Linked DNA regions of Drosophila melanogaster. The protein of the gene in region 1 purifies or fractionates together with the protein of each later gene. This does not show direct contact. Each region holds a gene or a part of one and is shown on either strand. Other genes may lie near its edges.

Region 1 (4,894 bases):
AAGAATCATTTGTTGGGCGAAAGCACATCGATTCACTGGCATGGTCTGCACCAGAAGAAGACACCCTATATGGATGGTGTACCACACATCACTCAGTGTCCAATTACTCCACATGCGACCTTCAGGTATTCCTTTCCAGCCGATCTCTCCGGCACTCACTTCTGGCATTCGCACACTGGCATGCAGCGAGGTGATGGAGTTTTCGGTGCCTTAATCATCCGGAAACCAAAGACAGCCGAACCACACGGAGGACTCTACGACTTTGACCTCAGCGAGCATGTGATGATTGTCCAGGATTGGATACATGACACAGGTGCCAGCATATTTTCCTATCATCATCACTCCCGAGGTGATAATAAGCCCCACAATCTGCTCGTGAACGGCAAGGGACGTTACTATAATCGCATTTGGGCGGAAGCGAAGCAAGCTCATCGCAGAGCTGAGGAGAGAACTACCCAACCGGTGGAACCATTGCCCAAGTCCCAGGTGGACTTCGTTCAGACACTACCGAGACAAGCTCGATTGGCTAAAACTAATACAACCAAACTATTTCCCGTGAATTCCCGCCAAAAGAGGGGTAATTTAAATGAGATACCCTTGGAACTAGTTCCCCATCAGATTTACACAGTGAGAAGAGGTTTTCGTTATCGCTTCAGAATTATAAATGCGGAATATCTAAACTGTCCTATTGTGGTGTCTATTGACGGTCATAACTTGACAGCCATAAACTCGGATGGCTTTGATATTGAGGCAATGGACGTGGGCTCTATAGTTACCTATTCCGGTGAGCGATTTGATTTTGTACTAAATGCCAATCTCGAGGTTGGAAACTATTGGATTCGACTAAAGGGTTTGATGGACTGCAGCGAAGTCTTTACTTCCGCCTTTCAAGTGGCCATTCTTCGCTATGAGGGAGCTCCAGATGAAGAGCCTACTGCGGAATTGAGTTACGGCCACAAGGCTGAGGGCATTGAACTGAATGTGATGAACCGCGGTCCTGGTTACCCGGACACCAAAACCGTTGCAGAAATGAGGGCTCTGCCCATCTATGATCATGTCTCGGGCATCGATCACGATACACTGAAACCGGAAGCGGACTACAAGTTCTTCATCTACTACGATTTCTATACTAAGAATAATCCCGATTTTCACGATAAAGATCTTTATGCCATGGACATGGAGATGACCCAGCAGAATCGCCTATACACGCCTCAACTGAATCATATAACCTTAAATTTTCCTTCGCTAGCACTGCTACCTTCCAGGAGTCAGCTAAAGGACTCGGACTTCTGTAACGAAACGAGCTTAATGGATCAGGGTATCGATTGTCGCCAGGAGTTCTGCAAGTGTCATCATGTCCTGCAGGTTCCATTGGGCGCCGTGGTCGAGATGATCATCGTGGACGAGGGATTCCAATACTATGCCAATCATCCCTTTCATTTGCATGGAAACGCCTTCAGAGTCATGGGATTGGAGCGTTTGGGCGAAAATGTCACCGTTGAAATGGTTAGTAACTTTGTTCGAAGGAAATAAAAAATATTTATTTAACTTGTAACTATTTATATTCTCAAGATAAAACAACTGGATCAGTTCAATCTACTCAAGCGGAATCTGGACAATCCACCCGTGAAGGACACAGTTACTATTCCAGATGGAGGCTATACCATCATCAGATTCGAGGCCTCTAATCCGGGCTATTGGCTTTTCCATTGCCACATCGAATTCCATGCCGAGATCGGTATGGCTCTGGTCTTCAAAGTGGGTAACGACGATCAAATGGTTCCGGTGCCAGAGAACTTTCCCACCTGCGGCGATTATAATCCAGACTTAAGATCTGATGGAGGAACTACAGAAGATTCGGGATCCAGCAAGCCGATAACAGCTACTCCCCCAAATACAGGAGGCGGTGGATCGGGTCTGGAACCCACTTGGATTACATTGATGATTAGTTCCATGCTAGTGAAACTCTATCGATAAGAGCTGGCCTTCAAAAGAGAGCACAATCCAAACTTGCCAAACGAAATTTAGAGATTATTTATTGAAGAGTTGGAAAGATCGTGTAGATCAAATTGATTTTGATTGATGTAGAAATATATTTGTTTTCCGGCACCTGTACATATTCCATACAAAAATATTCGCATCGTTGTAGCATAAGCATCTGTGATTGTCTAAGAAAATGTTTAAATAAGTCATTTAAATAAATATCTAAATGTTTTTGTAAGATTTTTGGTGTTTCTAATGAAGAGGTAGAATCTTATAATCATGAGTGTAAAATTGCTCTCAAAGATATATATTGAAAAACAAATTTTAACTTTAATGTACATATATATAGAATTCCACAAAACGTAAAATAAATCTGTTTCAAATGTTCCTAATTATTGCAACAATTTATTCGGCAAATTCTACAATTTTATTGTATAATGAGGAACCCAGTCGAAATATTGATATTTCGTCAGGTGGCTGGAGATCAGATGAACCAGCCAACGACCTCGTCGTCGAAAGCTGTCTTATCTGGTCCCTTCTGGCAACAGCTGGCTACGGTCTTGTTGTCGTCTTTTCCAACTCAAAATATCAGGAATGGACAGGGACCTGATCTTCACCCGTTGACCCGATGAAGATAGCTGAAATTATGGCGATGTTATTGCAATCCGAATAAAGTCATCACATTAAATGCGCTGGACATCTGGAATCGGTGCATCTGTGGTGTTATATAAGAGCAGCCACCTACTAGCTTAACATCAGACAGAGTTAGTCACTCATCACATCACAATCCAAGCCACGTCAACCCCAAATAATTAACCCCAAGCAAAAATGTTTGACTGGACCGGTAAGAATGTTGTCTATGTGGGCAGCTTCAGCGGCATTGGATGGCAGATGATGATGCAGCTGATGCAGAAGGACATCAAGATGATGGGCATTATGCATCGCATGGAGAACGTTAAGATGATGAAGAAGCTGCAGGCCATTAATCCATCCGTGAAAGTGGTCTTCATGCAAATGAACCTCATGGAAAAGATGTCGATCGAACAGGCGATGAAGAAAATGGGTCAAATGATGGGACACATTGATGTGATGATCAATGGCGAGGGTGTCCTGCTCGACAAGGATGTGGAGACTACGATGGGCATGAATCTGGTAAGGAATAGATAATTAAATTATTGATTGGTATCTCAACTTCTAAATCCTTTCCCACAGACTGGCATGATCCAGTCGACGATGATGGCCATGCCCTACATGGACAAGACACAGATGGGCATGGGTGGCATGGTGGTTAACATGTCCTCTGTCTATGGCCTGGAACCCGCGCCCGCCTTTTCTGTCTACGCCGCTGCCATGCACGGCATCCTCGGATTCACCCGCTCCATGGGCGACAAGATGATCTACCAAAAGACCGGCGTCATGTTCATGGCCATGTGCCCGGGACTCACCAACAGCGAGATGATTATGAACCTGCGCGACAACGTTACCTGGCACCACTCCGAATCCATGGTGGAGGCCATCGAGAGCGCCAAGCGCCAAATGCCCGAGGAGGCAGCCATGCAAATGATCCACGCGATGGAGATGATGAAGAACGGCAGCATGTGGATTGTGAGCATGGGCCAGCTGAAGGAGGTTACGCCCACGATGCACTGGCAGATGTAAATGGCTTAGTTGAGCGATTATTTGTTAAATCATTTCAAAAAAAAAAATATATAAAAATATTAGGCCTCCCAGTTTGTTTCTTGTTCAATCTAGCTACCATTTACAAATATTTCTTATCTTATAACGATTCCGTGTAGAGAGTATAACTAAATACTTACAAAATTTTGTTTTCCATTGAGATCGTCTTATAAAAATATTTTTTATATAAATATTGGTTCAAAATTTGCAAGACTCGGCTTCTTACCAACAGATGTACCATGTCGAATTATAGGGTTACATATAAAAATCGATGCATTAGCTGTGGCGTCGAAGTACCAGTCCTTTCCACAAATGGATGCCATTTCAAAGTTCAGGACAAATTTAATTCTTGTGGCTCCAAAATAAGCAATCCTCGAAAACGGCCGAGTCAAATAAAAAGGCACAGGAATATTTCTCAAAGAAAGCTAAATAATGGTTTTAAATGGTCTTCATCATCTACGAAAAAACGATTCTATCCGTTAGTAAAGAAACAAAAATTGTTGATGTCCTCAGAGCCCTCTCATAAGGCTCTAATTTTAAGAGAGATGATTAGGTTAGGAAGAAAACCGAATCGAAAGTTCGAAAAGGCTGCGAGAAATAGTGTATTTCCGGGTAAGTAATCATAATGCAATTTAAACATATCATAACGAAAACTTTAATTCTTAGGCATCTGCCGTACGATATTGAAACTGCACCAGTATACTAATCTTGTACAGTAGAGATTACTGATGTCACAGATTCTTTTGAGATCAAAGTCCCCACCATATGGAATCATTTGGATGGATGGATCAATGGATGTAGATGAAATGGGTACATGCAGACATATATTTTTAGAAGAATCAATGGAAATTTAAGTATTTAAATATTTATTAAGCTAACGTACTTATATTGTGTACAACAGTTTTCAATTAAATGGAATAGGAAAATAAAGTCCTGGATGAGGTACATTTACATTGTAAATACCAGAAATGACAGCTTATTGTAAATAGTTTAATATACATTTATTATCACATGGTAAAGTCTGTATGATTGACGTATTTTTCGAATTAAGTATTTGAACTATTACTGCAATTGTTTCCCTCAATCCTCCGATTGAGCTCAGCATCAAACTCTGCGTCATTGAAACCGATGTCTCGACGGAAGAACTCATCGAGTACCTTAGCTTGGCACTGGCCTACCTCCATTGCGGCTCGCCAATCCGCGACATTTTGAGGAATTTTCTGACCCTCCATCT
Region 2 (5,073 bases), 4.9 Mb from region 1:
GCGTGTACTCAAAGGTATCAGCGTTGATCAGGTCGATGACGGGCACGGCCAGAGTGGCGTTCTCCGACTTGATGAGGCGCAGCAGCGGCTCCAGCCACTGCTGATTGACCTCGATATGCGAGTCGAGGAAGACGAGCACATCGCCCACGGCCTCGCGTGCACCAATGACCCGGGAACGAATGAGACCCTCGCGCTGCTCGTTTTTGATGTACCGCAGGTTGTCGTACTTCAGGCGGGCACGCAGATCCCCGTGCAAATGGAATTCCAATTCTGGAAGATCGCTGTGATCATCCACCAGAATAATCTCGCGCAGCAGGTAGCTGGGCGTGCGTTCCAGCACGGTCTTAATCGAGCGCATCAGCGTCATCTTGTGCTCGTTGTAGAAGCACATGACTATGGAGGCCTGGGGCAGATTTTCCGCTTCCGTGGTCTCCTGGCGATCGCACACCTTGTGCCGAGTGTCTGGGATCGCCCGGAAGAGTCCTATGTTATTGGACACCAGCGCGTTGAAGGCGTGATGCTTGTAGCCAATGTCGCGTATGTACTTGTCCTGCTTGTTGCGCACCACACCCAACAGTTCCAATTGCTCCGGATCACTGGGCGGCTTGGGTGCCGCCGGCGATTCGCCAGTGGTAATGCTGGCATTTGGAGTGCATCCGACGGTGACCCTGGCCTGGTAGCTCAGCTCGGCCCGTGGCGTTGCGTTCCCTTCGTCGATCCTCCATCCTGCCGAGCGGATGGAGCTGCGCAGGCTGTGCGAGTAGAAAAGCAGCGCCAGCAGCCAGACGACCGCCACCAGAAGGGTGCCCAGGCCGCAGGATTTGCACAGGAGGCGCTTGATTTGCATCATGGATCGAGATTAGATTACGTTGTGCGCTTCCCTGGCTACTTAAGCAGCTACTTTGTCACTTTCATGATGATCGGAATAAATTAAATTTAATTTGCATACCATGGCATTCGCACAAAAGCGCGCACACAGCGATGCCACCGAAGATGCTAGCTCAGAGTTTTTCCCGCTAAATTTCAAGGAAATCGAAAATAGTGTAGAATAGTGTAGTGTAGAAAACAAAAATTGGACTGATAACCAGTTAAAATGATTAATTAGACAACCAGCAACAAACAAAAGAACAGTATACGAAAAATCGTTGTTTGACTTACAAACTTTATTGTTCATAGTCATAATCAGCTGATTTCCAACCCAACGTTAGCATCACTAAATAAAACAAGAATGAAGTTATGCGCAAGTCAAAGTTGAGGGTATTCCACTAAATGGATTAAAAAAGCTTTTTACAAAATATTTAAGTAAATCGTAAGTACCCAAATATTTATAAAATTTAAATCTATTAAATGGAAATCCGGTAAATTATAAAATTATCCAGCGATTTGGTGTAGAATTAAATATAAACGAATGGTTAAATATGCAAATTAAAATTTAAATTATTTGAAAGAGAAATTCATTTCTATTGGTAGGGGTTTTATAAATACCATTTTATTTATTTCCTATTGCATTATGCCATTAATACATCGTAAATATTCATATAACATTGATCGTTTCCTCCAATTCTTGCACGCGACAACAACAAATACTCAACAAAAAATTAGGGAGATACAAAAATTCATACATATATATATTATATACAGGGATTCATCAGCCAACAAAAACATGATCTATATCTCAAACGAATTCATCTATAAATTGAGACCGAAGGATGGTGTTAGTGCGATAAACTTTTCGAAATTTCATGGTCAAAACTTTAGTTTGCGCCAACAAACATGTTTAATTTTCTAGTATTTATGCTTAACCGATACAATAAATGTTGCAATGCTTGCGTCTTATTAAGCGAAAGGACTTTATATTTTCTTTTTCTGTTTTTTTTTTTTTTTGTGGTTGCTGTCGCTGTTGTTGGCTCACACATTGATGCTTAATCGAATTATTTAACTACATACATTGGTTTTTGCTTGGGCATCGGTAGATTACGAGTCGGCTAAAAATAAAAGTTGATTTGTATAACTAGGTTTTGCGTAAAGTTAGGTTCCATCATTCATTTAGCACGAGCACTGATCCTTGGCGCCCGTAGCCTCGCTACTCAGCGAAGTTCGCGACGGCTGCGATGGCCTGTGCTGAACTCCGGACTCGGAGGCGTTCAGATCGAGCCGACCCTCCTGGATGTTCTGGTAAATCTTGCGTGCGGTCTCCAGAAAAGCCTCCTCCACATTCTGGCCACTGTTTGGGCGATAAAAAAAAAGATAATCAGTATATGCTCAAACACTATGCTTCCAGTTGAAACTCACGTCATAGCGCTCGCTTCGAGAAACATTAGGCCGTTCTCGTCGGCAAACTCCTTGGCCTCCTCGTAGGTAACCTCCCGAGTGCTCTCCAGATCCGATTTGTTGCCAATGAGAAAGATCACAGTGCTGGGATTGGTGAGATTGCGAGTGTCGGTAAGCCAGCTGCTCAGGTGATTGTACGTGGAGCTGGAATGGTCAAGTTGTAAAGCAATTTCTCAAATAGTAGCTTGCTTCGCTTACCGCCTGGTAATATCGTAGACCATCAGCGCACCAGCTGCTCCACGGTAATAGGAGCGTGTCACTGCCCTGAATCGCTCCTGACCCGCTGTGTCCCAGATCTGTAGCTTGATCTTTTTGTCGTCCACCTCAATGATGCGTGTGCCGAACTCCACGCCAATGGTGTGAGGACAATTGGCCATGACTGCAGGACGGCAAGTAGAGATTAGTTCTTATTACATACATTATTACTCAGCACAGTCTACTCACATTTCTTCTCGGTGAACTGGTGGAGCAGGCAGGACTTGCCCACGCCCATGTCACCAATGATGATGTATTTAAAGATATAGTTGTAGTTGTATGGCGCTGCAGTCATGTTGGGACCTAAAAAGCAAGCGAAATTATTATTATTATTACATTGCAGAGTCATTGAGTATATAGAATATTTCACACATTTTTCAATAAAGTAGTCTATGCGTTCGTGCAGTTTGTTCACCACGCTGCGCACTTTGCTCATCTTGACACCGGCAGAAATGAACTCTGACCCAATCAAACAGTGTTAACTACTACTATCAGCTCCTCATTTGAATGTCCAACCGTAGTCGCTGCTTATCAACAAACCGAGGCGCTGCATTAATTTGTTCTGCGTCGACACCACATTTTGTTCCCCTTTCTCGAACTGGCCCCGATATTTCTTTTTAAGGCCTGCTTGTGTTTGAACAGCCGACCGGGTTTGTTTGCCTGCCAACTGAAGCCAAAAAAAAAAAAAAATAAGAAAGAGGCAAGCTTCAAGAGCGGCGGGTATATCCACTTCATGCCACTTGACTTTGTCCATTCGCAGTATCCGTGTCGTTCGAAAGCCTTTGATTTGTCCGCAGTTAAGGGGCGCTGAAGAGAGTGAATTGAACCCTTCGCCCAAGCTGAAAGCGATTTGGATCAAGGTCGCCGAGCAAGCAATCGTGGGAATTCAATTATTAAGAGCAGTACGCGCGAAGTTATTCATCAAGTTAGTTTGTATTTAGGGTAATCATCCTGCCTTACTTCATATGAATGAATTTCATACAAAAGAATGTGACTTAGCAGCATATAGTGTGAAAAGATGAGTATCAATTATGGATTCTTAATTGCTCATACTTAAATCATCAAATACAGTTATAATCGCTTATCATTGCTTGTCAAAGTGACAAGTGCATATCAGTTTAATAGGCTCTATGACGGGCAGTTTAGACTAACTAAGTAGTAGGTCTCGGTCTCGAGTCTTATCAGTCAAGCGCCAAAGGCCAAACATCAGTGGAGCAATCAATGGAGGCGAAGTACATATGTACTTATTTGCAAAATGTGTTGAATGGAAGTGGATCATCATTGCCCCTCATAAAAGGAACACAGCGGCGCACCCATAACAGGGAAAATAACGAAAGGAGTATGAGAAATATATATTTATACACAGACGAAGTATGTATACCCTTTGGCAAAAAATCTTAAATATAAATATACTTTTATAAATGTGCGCTTTATATTCCATTTCTAAGATATAACTGAATACGATTTGATATTTGAGTATCTACAAATAAGCGCACATCCATTCAAACTAATAAAATAAGCCCGCATTGAAGACAACAACGCAATAAGACACAACAAAATGAAAAAGAAATATATTAATAACTGATAACAACTACTAAGAAAACTTCTGATTTATTATAATTTTTTATTCATGCTCGCCTACATTTTGAAAAAACCTTGTTTGCATAATTCATATAATAAATTAATATATAAGCACAGGTAAATATTTCTATGATAACTCATACACTCATATAATAATCCATCTTATAAAAACTAATTTAGAGTATTTATTTATAGCGTATACTAAACAAACTCCTCACCTACCGATTTTTAAGTAGAGTGGCGGCCGTTTTTGCCCCACCATCCCCTAAAAATTCAAAAAATAAATTATACACCATAAAAACCTGAAACATCCCCAGAATTAATCGATTTTTGTAAATCATATTTATTTTCTTAACTTGGTCACAAAACAGTAACTCCCCATTGCAGGGTATCAAAGCAATCAGGGGGTGTATACAACAACAATGGAGTGCTGCTGCCTAACGACAAAAACAAGAGAGAGCGAGAGCACAAGGGAAAGTTGCGGAGCACCCACAGCTGCACTGCGTCACCCCTTCGCAGACGGTTTTCCATTTCGCATAATTTAATCAGTGTTTAATTGGCTTAAGGAAAAACAACGAATATTACTCACCGTTTTAGATCACTTTAGTTTTAGTCCACCTTAGGGAGCGAACGGAATGTGTAACGTAGGGCGGTTACGCAGAGCGGGGGGTACTGTGTGTATGTGTGCGTATTGTTGTTTGGCTGTGCGGAATTCGATTGCAATTTTTGGGCAATTTGGCGATGCAAAATGCAGTTCACTTTCGTGCTAGCACGCACACTGGCTTCGCGGGGTTGCGGGGCTGCACCGAGAGGCAATTATTGCGATTATTTTCAATTGGTAGGTCGATGCAAATCAGTAGTCTTTTTTCACTGCTTTTGCGTTCTCTTGTTTTGCTTGGTTTCCTG
Region 3 (6,021 bases), on another chromosome or scaffold:
ACTGCTCTTGTGTATCGAAAACGCATAAATCATTGGTCTTTTTTCTGTCGGGAGTGCCTTTCAACAGACTGGTCAATTGTATCTTAGCTCTCGGCTGGCCACACAAATTAAATTTGTATAAAAATAGCCAAGTTGGTGGGCCCAGAATCCAGCCCAGAATAGGAGACGGCAGGACAAACGAAGACGCAGGCTACTGTATGGAGTGGGATCGACAAAGTGGAAACAGACAGGAAAGACATCCCCAGGACGAGATGTGCGATCAATTATGATTGTCACAGTTGACACACATTATCGCCCTTGTAAAAGTCCGAACCTGTTGTCGTCGTAGGACCTTCCAGATCCTCGAACTGGCGATGTTCGACTATAGGAGCTAATTGATGTTTTCATTTAGGCACTCTGACCGCCAGGGAACGTTTTCATTCTAGGTGGTAAGTGCAACGCCCGCTGAGCACACATAATTGGGAGCAGCGGGAAGGTCCTGAAGAAAGACACCGATCGTCGAGGTCCGTCCTAACTACAGCTGTACCTACCAGCAACACCACCCAAGATCCCGATCGTCCGTAACTAGTGCATGGGGAGAAGCCTGATATAAGTATGAGTCCTGCCCTCCCTCGCTGTCATATTGTCAATGGCTTTGTTCATTTCTGTGTGCACTTGGCTGCCTTTTCGGGTCCTATCATCTTCGGAAAGGCCCACATTTGGCGGCATCTTAAAAGTCACGATTCAGTGACGTTGGTGGTCGCCCGATTCCACTGCTCATACTTTGCCCATCTACCTTGTCAATTACTCTATTTTGCTGCGATGTGTGTGGTTTTCCCAAACCATTCACCAATCCCTAATTATTTTTGTATTATCAAATCCGCAGTACGTGTTGTCCGTTTTTGTCTCTAATTGTTTAATGGTCAGATCATGAGCCAGTTTTTGTTTGAATATGCCTAAAGAGCGCCCTCATCCAGATCACGGCCTTCTTCCAATCTGCACAGATTTGAAGACGATCGATGATTAACATCACTTTGACAATTTAAAGAAACGTTTCTAGACTATTTTGAGGGATTACTCGGATGGGCTTGTTAACCTGTTAGGTTGCCACAGGAACTTGACAAAAACTGTTGATGTGTGTGGTCTAGAATTGTTATTAGTTTAATGAAGTGTAAGCGGCTTGAGTATATTGTGAAAATTTATATGGTTGGATATAACTTCCATTCAGAATTAATTGAATTCACCGTACACTTACATTTAAATCAAAAATCACCGTTTGAAATTTATAAAATACGAATTTGGAAACATTGAAAAGGTAAAGAATTGCGGGATTAAAGAGATATCATTATGTTTAACGAGCTAATAAAGCTTTTCGTACTTTATTTTTTCTGGGTATACAGAAACGCAATGATCCCATATTTCTTGATTTTTAAATTATATATAGGTATATTTTAGTTCTCAGAAATAAAACTAACCGTTGGGTTTTATTTAAATGTTTTCTTTTATTGTTTTGATAATTGCTCCTTAACCTAAAACTAACATTTGTATTAAAGTACTAATTTAAACAGTCTTAGGGGTGTTAAATGTAGGTCTATACGAGTAGCAACATTAAAGTACTGTTAAAGTTTTCAAACGACCCACAAGATTAGGAACAAGCAGGGATCGTCTCAAAATCCAAAGTATGGATAGGTTGGTGCAGTGGTCATCATTGAGCTCTTCTGATCAACCTGATGATGGTAGCCGCTAATATGGTTGCCTGCGGCAGAAGCGGGAGGGAAAAAGGAACCCGCAAAGTTGTAGCTGTCCCACGTGGAGGGGTGGTGAGAGCCCGAAGCGGCGGCAGATGCAAACTGGGATCTCAGCTGCTCCGCGGATGTAGCAGGAGTCTGCGGCATTGAATAGGCAGCCGATGGGTAAGTAGCATTGCTCGATCCCACGCCGTAAGTGGAGGTCATAAACTCGCTTCCAGTTCCTGGCTGCTGCGCTTGCGTCTGTACGGGACTGTGGGCGGCAGAGCTGGTACCCGAGGTGCTGCTGGCGGGGGACATGGATGCAACCGATCCACCATAGGCAGCATGATTTTCATAGGCTCCGGATGATGGCCAGCTCTGTGAACTGTAAAGGCTCATTCCCATGTTTGGAGCAGGGGCGGCACTGGTAGTGGGAGTTGCGCCAAAAGAAGTAGATGTGGGAGCAAAGCTAGGCACCTGCTGGGTGTTCAGTTGCTTGCGCAGACGAGCACGGCGATTAGAGAACCAAACTTGGACACGGGCCTCGGTCAATCCCGTGCTCTGGGCCAACTCCTCCCGGGTGTAGACATCGGGGTACTGTGTACGGGCGAAGATGCGCTCTAGGGCGTCGATCTGGTCGTTGGAGAATGTCGTCCGGGAACGCCTTTGTTTCCTTTTTAACTGCACACTGGGCTCGGCATCGTCCTCGCTCTCATCCTCGCTTCCCACAGAACCAGCGCCTCCGCCGAGGATGCCGTCGATGCTGTGGGAGGTCCCTGATCCGGAGGATCCTCGCAGAAGACGCGAAATAGAGCTCACCGACGGAGCATTTTGCTTGTCGCAGACTCCCGCTTCGATTAGCTTGGCGCGGATTTCCCAACTAAAAATACCGGGCTGCGACTGTTTAAGTTCCTCGATTCTGGACTCAATGTCTGGCGTGGCTACACGGGGCTTGCTGCCACCGATTACTCCGGGCCGAATGGAGCCAGTCTCCTGGAAGCGGTTTAGAATCTTTGAGACGCAGCCATGAGAGACGCGCAGCTGGCGGGAGATGACACAGGGACGGACTCCAGCTGCTGCCATCTCCACGATTTGGCGACGGATGTGATTGGGCAACGGACGGCCGTTGATGAAGACGCCACCCAACTGGTTGACACGACCTTGTCCTGGAAGAATTAGAGAAACAGGCATGAATACACTTGCAAGTCAGCATTTGTTCGTAAGTACGTCCATGGAAGTCTGATCCCATTACAATATCTTAAGTACGTTAGTTGTGTGGTCTTGTTTTCGGAACGATATTTAAATTAACTTTTTTCCTTGCTCCATTGAGCGAAAGAAAGTAATCTAGTTAGACGGCATTGACCACTTCAATTGCTTACTAACTGAACTGCACTAATCAGGATAAGCCGCAGGATCAATACGCACGATCTTTTGTTGAAGATTGGCACAAACGATACCATAGCCATTTGTAGACATAACAAAACGCAAATTGGTCATTTGCGTGGGCCTTTTTGAGAAAATAGTAAGCCTCTTGCAGACGAATGGTATGCGGTGGTGGGGAAAAATACCAATCTCGACAGGGGACGCGGCTGCGAACATAGCTGCATCCCGGGCCGGCTTTTGCAATCAAATCAAACTAATAATCCATAAGAGCAGCAGATGCCCAGCTGCGCCGGCTAATACAAGTGTGTGTATATGAAAAGGCGGCCCCAAAACAGCCGTAAAGAGAAATGAAAGCCCGGTCCCTGTGCAGGGTCTGATGTTTGGGGCGCTGACGTTACTGAGCTACGTGATACACAAGACCCCGAGCTCCAACACAGACACTGAGTCGATTCAAGATCAAAGCCCAGCGACACGACGCCGCCGTGGCATGAGTCGAGACATGAGCTGGCAAGACGGTCGCGCCAAAAAGTCTGCAAAGTCCGCACCTTAAGCTGGGGTTCGAAGAGGTTGGCTTTTCACTGGGTCTGGGTATGGCCATTGCCTGTCCGGGCTAGTTGCCGATTACAATCAATAAGTCAGAAAGCTGATCATGCTGCCGAACGGGTAATGATCCCTCGTTTGAAAACAGCGGGCGAAAGCGCTGCCCCAAATGATGAGCCAGCACTTTTCTGCGTCTGAATCTGGCGTTTTGTACCAGTAATTGTGGTAATTGGTAATGGTCGTTGTGATCTTGTATCTATCTGTCGGTGCTTACCTTGAAAGGGATATCCGCCAAAGTAGGGTGTCATGTTGAGAGCCGAAACAGCCATTTCCTTGCGGTAATCCTTTTGAGAGTTCTTCGGAGTTTTGTTAACACTTTTACTTATACGTTTCAAATTAATCTTCGCGAGGCCCGACTGTTAGGAATTCTAAATTATTTTTGGAGTGTGTATCTGCTGTTGCGAGTGCGCAGTGAATGATGATGCTGCTCGGTTGCTTGACAGCTCGAAACTGATTTTGAAACGGTCAGCCGCAAGACTAAAACGAATCCGTGAGATTCTCAGAGCCAAGAAACTAGTTTTGTTCAGTGAAGAAGCAGTGCGGGCGCGAGGGTGGAATTGCAGGCCGGCAGCCAGGCGATGCAAGAGCGAGAGGCTGCGATCGGTACCGGTGGTTAGAGCGGATCAGCTGCTCAGCCTGAAAGTGTGAGCGAGAGCAGTGCCGTCGAACCAGAAACGAGAGAGACTCCATAGCATGACTGTAATTTCTTTAGCTCCGCCTCCAGAAAACCGAACAGAATTCGGTTTAGTATCCCTTCCTGAAGGATTTGGGATTTATAAAATTCCGAGTGGGCTCAGTCGGTACTCCATTATGATTGTTTATTTAATATGCGCTTGATTTGAAGTTATGCTTTGGGACGAAAATCATAGGCTTGAGGTGGGTGAGCTGGCAAGCTGATTCCGAATATCGTAAATATATTGTGAGCACTATTTCCATCGCCGCCACAAACAAACTGTTGAAATATCCATAGAAAAACCTTGAATGAACGGGCAAATAAAAAAAGAATGCAAAAGGTTTCTAAGACCGCAACAGACGGTCTATGAAACGCATTTAACTTGCATTTTATTTTGTCTGCAAGCCGCCCTCGCCAAACCAATGGCCTTGGTTAAATGGAAAAAGGCGTGGGGCTAAGATACGCGTGTCTGGTGAAGTCTGTGGCAGGATTTTACTTTTCAAACAAGTGAACGCGATTGATTAAATAGTTGCTTTCAATTGGAATTTGAATTTAAAGACAGCCGTATTGAGACTAATGGCTAAATAGTCGACATGCTTCATTAAAAGTTCATTCCGAAGTTGTGATTCAATTACTGGCTCTACTTAACAGACACTGTTTGCAAAAGCTAATTAGAAGAGCCCCATCTGTAAAACAACTCTAAAAATTAATATTCATGACAAAAAGAGAATGGGAACGGCCTTTTGTATGTGTTGCTGAGTGGGAAGCTGGGTAAAACATTTTCGCACAGGTAAAAAGGAAGAGGAAATGTAAACTTCATTTCCGAGTCATGCACTCGGTTAATTTTTGAGACTGCTTAGCTATGAGCGGTCAATATCAAAGGCGTTTTGGCCATGTTGCGTATACGCCGCGTGCGCGAGCATTGAAATTATGCAGCATCATATCCAAGGCAAGGCTATGTACGCGAACAATGTAGACAAAGTTTGTGGCCCCTGGTTTTGGGGCAGGCAATTGTCGAGATACTCGTCCAGCGGTATATGTATCTGTGAGATACTTTCGGCGTGGGTGCGATGGTGAGTATATGCTATTTGGCAATAATTTAGGTCCATTGTTTGGCTGGCCGTTACGCTCTGTGTGGCTTTGCCGCAAGGCAATCGCTCAAATCATTTGACAACTGAAACTGCTACTGTGCGATTGGCAAAGTCTTCGATGCCGACACTGCCTTAGATGCAGATTCCGATATGGATTGTGCGTCAGTGCGAATGATGAATCGGAATCTATTGAGCATTCAAATGGCAAGTGTTCGGACTCTGTTTCTCTCCATCGACCAGGTCTCCGTTGACCTGGACTAACTTTTGTAAATAAGAACTTATCTGGTAAATACAAAAAGCAGAACCGACGCCAAATAACAAAATTCTTTTCACTCCTTGACTGCGGCATTTTTATTGGTTTTTTGAAACATTTTTCTAAGCCAGTCATAGACGGAAGGCTCAAAGGCAATGTATTCGCCTGGCAGTCGAACTGTACATTGCGTGGTTTACCCCAAGTTGGAAAATTCATTTGTGAACCGGCAGGCGAAGGCTGCAAGCGAAGGAATTGACTTGAGTGATGGCTTTAAAATGCTGCGGAATTCGATTTCATTTCTCAAACGAAGGA

The links. The genes of interacting proteins can lie anywhere in the genome.
Region 2: the proteins of Fbp2 (region 1) and Rab14 purify together in Drosophila melanogaster (affinity purification with mass spectrometry, with the first as the bait; one large-scale study listed by BioGRID). This does not show direct contact.
Region 3: the proteins of Fbp2 (region 1) and gsb purify together in Drosophila melanogaster (affinity purification with mass spectrometry, with the first as the bait; one large-scale study listed by BioGRID). This does not show direct contact.

Annotation. Positions count from the first base shown.
Region 1 is NT_033779.5:9,424,124-9,429,017, forward strand, and holds Fbp2 (Fat body protein 2), read left to right. Parts: upstream 1-2,660; 5' UTR 2,661-2,811; coding exon 2,812-3,135; intron 3,136-3,195; coding exon 3,196-3,642; 3' UTR 3,643-3,794; downstream 3,795-4,894. Other genes in the region: Mco1 (multicopper oxidase 1), read left to right, coding at 1-1,506, 1,573-1,977; CG42847 (uncharacterized protein), read left to right, coding at 3,900-4,272, 4,327-4,379; FucTB (alpha1,3-fucosyltransferase B), read right to left, coding at 4,707-4,894.
Region 2 is NT_033779.5:14,355,157-14,360,229, reverse strand, and holds Rab14 (Rab14), read right to left. Parts: upstream 3,190-5,073; 5' UTR 3,023-3,189; coding exon 2,959-3,022; intron 2,950-2,958; exon of another isoform or gene 2,890-2,949; coding exon 2,776-2,889; intron 2,711-2,775; coding exon 2,530-2,710; intron 2,476-2,529; coding exon 2,293-2,475; intron 2,225-2,292; coding exon 2,047-2,224; 3' UTR 1,466-2,046; downstream 1-1,465. Other genes in the region: Pgant35A (polypeptide N-acetylgalactosaminyltransferase 35A), read right to left, coding at 1-850.
Region 3 is NT_033778.4:25,060,088-25,066,108, reverse strand, and holds gsb (gooseberry), read right to left. Parts: upstream 4,146-6,021; 5' UTR 3,962-4,145; coding exon 3,907-3,961; intron 2,876-3,906; coding exon 1,647-2,875; 3' UTR 1,466-1,646; downstream 1-1,465. UniProt on the Drosophila melanogaster protein: Expressed in segmentally repeating pattern to define the polarity of embryonic segments.